Pelodiscus sinensis: one gene and its partner. The protein of the gene in region 2 interacts with the protein of the main gene of each other region in a pairwise test. Links are inferred from orthologs where the notes say so. Each region holds a gene or a part of one and is shown on either strand. Other genes may lie near its edges.

What was found.
Region 1: the proteins of PIH1D2 (region 2) and IGF2BP3 interact in a two-hybrid assay, tested with the Homo sapiens proteins (2 studies listed by BioGRID and IntAct). The two-hybrid records come from large-scale screens. The link is inferred for Pelodiscus sinensis from reciprocal best matches to the Homo sapiens genes PIH1D2 and IGF2BP3.

Annotation. Positions count from the first base shown.
Region 1 is NC_134712.1:198,981,898-198,985,642, forward strand, and holds the start of IGF2BP3 (insulin-like growth factor 2 mRNA-binding protein 3), read left to right. Parts: upstream 1-753; 5' UTR 754-1,057; intron 1,058-1,665; 5' UTR 1,666-1,668; coding exon 1,669-1,843; intron 1,844-3,449; coding exon 3,450-3,510; intron 3,511-3,745. UniProt on the Homo sapiens protein: RNA-binding factor that may recruit target transcripts to cytoplasmic protein-RNA complexes (mRNPs). This transcript 'caging' into mRNPs allows mRNA transport and transient storage.
Region 2 is NC_134736.1:6,937,163-6,940,907, forward strand, and holds the start of PIH1D2 (PIH1 domain-containing protein 2), read right to left. Parts: upstream 2,777-3,745; 5' UTR 2,661-2,776; intron 1,892-2,660; exon of another isoform or gene 1,753-1,891; intron 1,446-1,752; 5' UTR 1,396-1,445; coding exon 1,213-1,395; intron 1-1,212.

The sequences.
Region 1 (3,745 bases), on a different chromosome or scaffold from region 2:
ACCATTGTACTCTTTACAAATGTTGAAAATTATGAATGGTTCTTTAAACCAAAAGGGGGAGGGGGATATCGCAAAATCGGAGGGTAACGCTGGTTGGCCAGTCTTCACATTTTCTAAGATCAGATCCACCATTAACTAGATTAAAAGAAAGGAGGACACATTTTTTTCCTTTTAGTAGAAAGGAGAAGAGCATGTTATTCTCACTCTGGACTCTCCCACTTCTTAATCATTTTCCAACTGTCCTGCGTCCCACCCCTTTGTCCTCTTCTCCGTACAGCTCCATTCCACATACATTGCAACTCATACTAATCAACCCACCAGAAACATTACCAGATGGGGGGCTCCTTCTAGGCTGGAAAGACCCTCATTTCCCCCTTCCCGCTCCCCTCCCTCATTCAGTCCCTTGTCTTTCCCCAGCGCTCAGCCAATTGCAAACAAGAAACCAGAAAGCCACCAAACATGAAATCGCAGGCAAAGGTGCTGCGCATGGAGAGATCGCTCAGGGAAGTGCTAATAAGAATATTACCCCCGCAGTTTTCCTAAGTACCCCTCCCCTCCTCGCTGGTGAGTCACCCTCGCCAAGGGCTCGAGCCAGCTTGCAGGGAGAGCAGAGTTTGCACGAACGACCCCTAAGAATAATACTGGTGGCTTCGCATCACGGGGGAAGGGTGGGGGGCGTGGGCATTATAATGGCATGTTTCCCTCCTTCCTGGAATCCCCTCGGCGATTGCCCCCGCCCCGAGAGAGCGTGCGTCTTCTCCTCCCGCAGCTGTTTGTGCTCGCTCGCTGCTTGCCGAAGAGACAGAGTTGGCCGCAGCAAAGCGAGGCCGGGCGTTATTTGCGAGTGGGCGTGTGCTCGGGGGAAGGGCCGAGCCGCCGGCCGCAGCCTGGAACAGGGGCTGAGAGGGAACACGCGCTCGGGGCCAGCGCCCATCAAACTCCCGATCTCCCTCTTTCTAGTCCCCAGCCCTCTTCAACTTGTCCCTGTGTGCTGTGCGCAGCCCGCCTCTGCCTCCTCCCCCGGCCTGTCCCTCACCCAATCTCTCCGCCTCCTCCGGTGAGTGTGTGTGTGTGAGAGCCGCCGAGCTACGGCCGCTATCTAATTGAGGAGCTGGGATTCCTCACGTGAGAAGTTGATTTGTAGTTTGAACACGTGGCTCATTCAAAAAGCCGGAATATTCAAGTAATTTTCTTCCTCCCCCCTCTTGGTTTTTTTTTTTAATTGAGAGGCGGCGCCTCCATGCACGTAGTGTGACATTTTCGTAGCCCGCCTGCTGTCGCCGTTGCCAAACGGGCTTGGGGGCAAGACAAAAAAAGTAGTTTATCTCCCCCTCCTCCTCCTTTCTCAGCCCGCCATCCTAGTCCCCACGCTGGGTGTTTCCCCCTGGCCTCCCCTCCGCGCCCGGCTCACGCAGCATTCACTCCGGATTCCGATTTGGAGACAGTTTTTTTTTTTTTTACCCCGGGAGAGAGCAAGCAAGGGAGGGTGGGAGGGACTCAGGCTGCAGATCTGATTTTTTTTCCACCTCGCTCTCTCTCGCTCGCTCTCCTCCATCGCATTTTATTTTCTCCCCCCCCTCCCCTCCTCACCTTATTTTTGCAAGCCCGGGCTGTAATTTGTTGCGCGTGTGTGGATTGTGGGTGTTTTTTTTTTAAACGAGCAAGACCATGAACAAGCTGTACATCGGCAACCTCGGCGAGAGCGTGAGCCCGCTGGACCTGGAAAGTCTCTTTAAGGAGTCCAAGATCCCCTTCACGGGCCAGTTTCTGGTGAAGACGGGATACGCGTTCGTCGACTGCCCCGATGATAACTGGGCTATGAAGGCCATCGAGGCACTTTCAGGTGAGTCTCTTCAGGAACCCCCCCCCCATCTCATTGCCCCCCGGCAGCTCCTCTTCCCTCACCCACAGAACCCCCCTTATCTCGCCGCTTCCACGCCGGGGAGACCCCGCAATCTGTCCCTGCCTTGCCAAGGGGGTGGGGGCGAGGTGGGTGCGCTGGGGGCTGCAAGGCAGGAGCTGGGGGGGGCTGCGGCCCCCGGGCACGGCGGCAGGTAGCGGGCACGCCGGGGTGTGACATCCCGCTGCTTTCTGGCCTCCGCAGCTCGGGGCTTGCGTTGCAGCCGGGGGGCCATAGGAGGGGGCCGGGGTGCGCTAGGCTGGCTCTGGCGGCGCGGGAGGTGGCCAAGGCGGCGTTTTCCCCCCCATCGCTTCCAAGAGGCCGGGGCAGAGGCACCAGCCTGGGCCCAGACACCTACCACGCCGGGGCTCCCATAGTCCTTCCCCCGCCCCGACGGACAATCCTGGCTTCCCTGCGAGCGCCCGGGGACGCGGGGGACTTTGCAGCAAGGGGAGGCCGGGCCGTGCAATGGTTTCGGGGGGCCACGCCAAGGTTAGGGTGCGGAGGGGAAACAGCCCTTCTTCCGGCATAGTGCGCAGGGGCGGCGGGCGAGCCCTGCTCTGTGCACACAGCGCGCACCCATAGGCGCTCCCTGCCCAGCGTGTCGCCCCGGCAGCCGGGCTGCGGGCTTGGCAGAAGCCGCCTTCTGGGTGCACTTGGAAGGAGTTGGCTGGCGAAGCTCCCGGCCCCACGCGGGGTGTTGCACGGAGCCGACGCATGCTCCAGCCTTCCCTGCAGCACTGGAGAGTAACCCAAACTCGGGAGAGTAAAGGCCCCCACCCCGGGGTGAGGAGCTGGCAGGGCTCGGCGCTGGAGGGCTGCATTCCTTCGGGATTATTTATTTCGCTTTCCCTTTGCCTGCCTCTCCCGCACCCCCCGTCACTTGCAGCAGCCAGGCCGCCTCTCTGTCTCTACATCCTGTTTTTGTGAAAAAAGCAATGTAGCCTGCTTGACTCGGTTTGCAGAGGCTTGAGGAGGGGAAGCTCCTGGGGCTTTGAGGCCCCCTCTAAAATCCTGTCTTTTCATCCATCCCTCCTCCAGAAAATGCCATGAAGTTTAAATCGAGGCCTGTCGCCCTGTGGGACGCGTTGGAGGTAGCCGAGGGAGGGAGGGGTGCCCAGAATAGGCAAGTAGGGGAGACACAAGCGTTTTCACACAACCCTGAAGCATTCCCAGTGTCTTCTCTCTTTGAGCTCCAGGGCTTTGATCAGCTCATCCCAGCGAAATTTGTATCTGTATTACAGATCACTTCGAGAAAATGGGTCAAATACACGTAGAGGTACCTTTTAAAACAGCGTCTTTCACTTACCCTTTCGGCCAATTATTGTGCTAAAGGACGTATTAAAAGTGAAGTCTCTTGGCTTGTGGTTGCAATTTGCCACTATACTGTTGTTACACCAGTTATTAATAAATAAGCGAATGTGTTGCACTTTTAATTTCCTGTGCTGTTTTAAAACACCACATATTCAATTTGAGAAGAGGGGGGCAATGAGAGAGTCCTTCAAACACATTTAAAAACACTTTCCCCTAATTTTGTTTTTATTTTCAGGTAAAGTGGAACTGCATGGTAAACTCATAGAAGTTGAACATTCAGTCCCTAAAAGACAAAGGTAAATATTTTTTTTCTTGCCCTTGTCTGCTACAGCAAAATCAAAACAAAATGCTTAAGTTATGTTTGTTTCCTTGTGGATAAATGAACTACTTTATTAAATTAGAAAACCACTATTGATATCAGAAATAAATCCAGAATAATCTCTTTATATTTTTAACATATTAGTCTGCAGCCTATAGAAGCCAACCTCTTCATGGAGGAAGCAGGTTGTGATTGAAAGACTAATAATTATT
Region 2 (3,745 bases):
CCCATAGGTGCCAGTATTGTGCTTATTGAACATACCCTAAATTTTCATGTTACATTATGGCTGTGTCTACACTGGCATGAATTTCCGGAACTGCTTAAAACGGAATACTATTCCGTTTTCAGTTTTTCCGGAAAAGGAGCATCTACATTGGCAGGCTGCTTTTCCGGAAAAGTCCTTTTTCCGGAAAAGCGTCTGTGGCCAATGTAGACGCGCTTTTCCAGAAAAGAGCCCCGATCGCCATTTTTGCAATCAGGGCTTTTTTCCAGAAAAGACTACTGGGCTGTCTACACTGGCCCTTTTCCGGAACAGTGTTTCGGAATAAGGACTTATGCCCGAGCGGGAGCAGAATAGTTTTTCCGGAATAGCGGCTGATTTTATACAGTAGAGCGTCATTGCTTTTCCGGAAATTCCAGGGCCAGTGTAGACAGCTCACAGCTTATTCCGGAAAAGCGGCTGATTTTCTGGAATAAGTGGCCCAGTGTAGACGCAGCCTAAGTGATCTGCTATAATAATCAATACTGGCAGAATCTCAGACCTAGGAATCCAGCTTCCTAGGAATCCAGCTGGAATGCATTCTAGTTTATTACAGAACCTCAGCCCATAATGTATTTCTACCTTAATTATATGCGATTTTCACCAGACTCTTACTTTTAACATGATCACTGCTTGGTTTAATTAGGACTAGCTCTGCATTTAGTACTAGAATTTATATCTGCATCTACTGCTCTTTCCAGCCACATGTAAACATGTTTTGCAGCAGATATATAGACCAGTTTGATAACTTGACACTGGCCATTGTTCAGTGCTTCTGTGGAAATATAAATCTTCCATAATGCACCTCTTTGCACCCTTTATGTTAAGCAAGTGCCTCACACTCTGAAGGACAAAGCATGAGAACCTTTATCATAGTTATCCTAACCAGTGGCATGGCAGAGGCTATTTTTACTTACAAAGTCTAATCTTTTTTTTAGGCTGAATGATATCCTCATTCCTTCCTCCACTGGTGTGTCTCAGTTGAGTCTCTAGCAGTGAACTCTGGTGCTCAGAAGGACCTTCAGCCACTCCTAAGGGTATTCAGATAGCTTGCAAGGGCTCCTGTGACACAGCTCAGCTATTAGTGGCTAGTCCAGGTACACCCATTGTTTCCCTGGCAGATGCAATCCTAGTGGAATCTCATAGCTCTCTTATAGTAAAAGCCCTTGAACCACGTACCAAGATGTGGGTCTGTAGACAAAGATGTGGTTCAGGGGGAGCACAATATTGCTTTGCATCCTCCAGCTGCTGCTGCATGAATCTGTGGTAACTCTCAGGAGTGCTTTCTGCCATTTCATCCAGCATGTTCCAGAACTGGGTCACTTGGGTCAGCATGTCCTCGGGGCAAGAAGGAGCAGCCATGATTAGCACAAATGTCCCTCAGGAAGCAGCACAGATGCTATTCTTCATGCCTATAGGTGAAAAAGGAGCATTAGGGGGAGTATCTGCTTTGAACTGCTGCCCTTCACAGGTCCTCGACTCCAAGAAAAAATCTATTTTAATATCAAGAAAAAAGATGGGATTTCTATCTGCCATTTGGTCTCCACCCCCTTTATCCACCCTGGGAATCATGCTCTTCCGATAGTCACCTTCCTCATCACCCCACCTGTTCCTCAGTGTCTCCCTATTACCACTACCATTACCCTCTTCCCTGCCCTTTGCCTTGACCTGCTAGATCCCAGGGCTGTGAACTGTCCCCACTCCCCACCATCCACCTACCCCTAGGTTCCAGTGCCTCATGCTGCCTCCAGCAACTCCCTGCCCCAAGCTGCCCCTTAACTCAACCCCAAAGTCCCGGGCTGCCTCTTGACGTGATCCCAGCACCCCATGCTGTCCCCTTGCCCCCATCCCACTGCCCCAAGCTGCCCCTTGACCCCCATCCCAGCGCCCCGAGCTGCCCCCTTGGCCCCCATCCCAGTGCCCCGAGCTGTCCCCTTGGCCCCCATCCCAGCGCCCCGAGCTGCCCCCTTGGCCCCCATCCCAGCGCCCCGAGCTGTCCCCTTGGCCCCCATCCCAGCGCCCCGAGCTGCCCCCTTGGCCCCCATCCCAGCGCTCCGAGCTGCCCCTTGGCCCCCATCCCAGCGCCCCGAGCTGCCCCCTTGGCCCCCATCCCAGCGCCCCGAGCTGTCCCCTTGGCCCCCATCCCAGCGCCCCGAGCTGCCCCCTTGGCCCCCATCCCAGCGCCCCGAGCTGTCCCCTTGGCCCCCATCCCAGCGCCCCGAGCTGCCCCCTTGGCCCCCATCCCAGCGCCCCGAGCTGCCCCTTGGCCCCCATCCCAGCGCCCCGAGCTGCCCCTTGGCCCCCATCCCAGCGCCCCGAGCTGCCCCCTTGGCCCCCATCCCAGCGCCCCGAGCTGTCCCCTTGCCCCCACCCCAGCGCCCCGAGCTGTCCCCTTAGCCCCATCCCAGCGCCCCGAGCTGCCCCTTGGCCCCCATCCCAGCGCCCCGAGCTGCCCCTTGGCCCCCATCCCAGTGCCCCGAGCTGGCCCCTTGGCCCCCATCCCAGCGCCCCGAGCTGCTCCAAGGCCCCGACTCTAATGCCCCGAGCTTCCCGCTGGCCTCCACCCTAGCCCGGAGCTCCGAGCGGCCCTTTGCTCCCTTCCCCCTCACGCGCCACACAGCTCCTACCTCGCGACACCAGAAGCCGTTTCCATAACAACCGACGTGAGAAAAACCGGAAGTGGAAGTGACGTTAGCCCTCCAATCCTTGCGTTCCTTACTGGGTCCCTAGGTCCCGCCTCCGGTTCGGGCCCTCCGCAGCCGGGTGCGTCCGGTGGAAGCACTTCCGGGTCACGCACTTCCGGGCTGGGGGGAGTAGTCCCCCTCCCTCCGCGGGTGAGAAGGGCGTTGGGTCGGGAGGGGGGCTGAGCTGGGGGAGGGACCTGGGGCTTCTGGGGGAGGATGTGAGGAGGGGGTCTTGGGGGGGGGGGGGGCAGAGGATTGCGGGGGGGGGTCCTCCCCAGGTCTGACTGGATCTGTGCCCCCCCCCCATATGCCCAGCGCTGTGGCAGCCACTCACTGCCCCACGCTCCCTGCCGGCTGGCGCTGCCTCCGCTTCCCCCATCACGGCCCCCAGCCTGGCTCCACGTGTGGCTGCTGATGGGTCCCAGGCGGGCTGGTGTTTTGGGTCGAAGCCCATTTCCCTAGACCTCCCTCCCCTCTTCCCGCTTTCCGGGAGGCCTCTTTATTTTCCACCCTAACATGCTGCGAGCTGTCAGCTAGCTGCTGGCTGACACCACGGGGGGGCTGCATTGAGCTGGGCGGTGAATGGCTGTATCTGTAGGGCCTGGGTCTCTCCTCATGTTCGTTTTTCACCAGCATAGCTCCGTTGGTTTCAGCGCAGTCTCATCTGACTTGTGCGGAGCGAGGTAAGCGCAGGATCAGATCCACCACGTGAAAGGTGATCAACATGGACATTAGACTAATAAATACTTTGTTTCCCGCTTCTCATTGATATGTGCGATACGAGATACAGAGGTTTATCAGGAACTCTGAACGTGGGCATCAGTTACTGCATGATCCTTTCTAAGCCCTGTATGTGAAGAGTGGCTCTAAGAAGTCTTCGTTTTGGGGTAATGCAGTGTTTTCTTAGGGAACACAAATGTCAGCCTGAGTCAATAACATGTTTTCTGTCATACAGGTGGAAAAAAATTGCTTTTAAGCTTTGTCTCAGTCCTGACGAGCATTTTCTGCATTAAAGAGTCTTATATGTG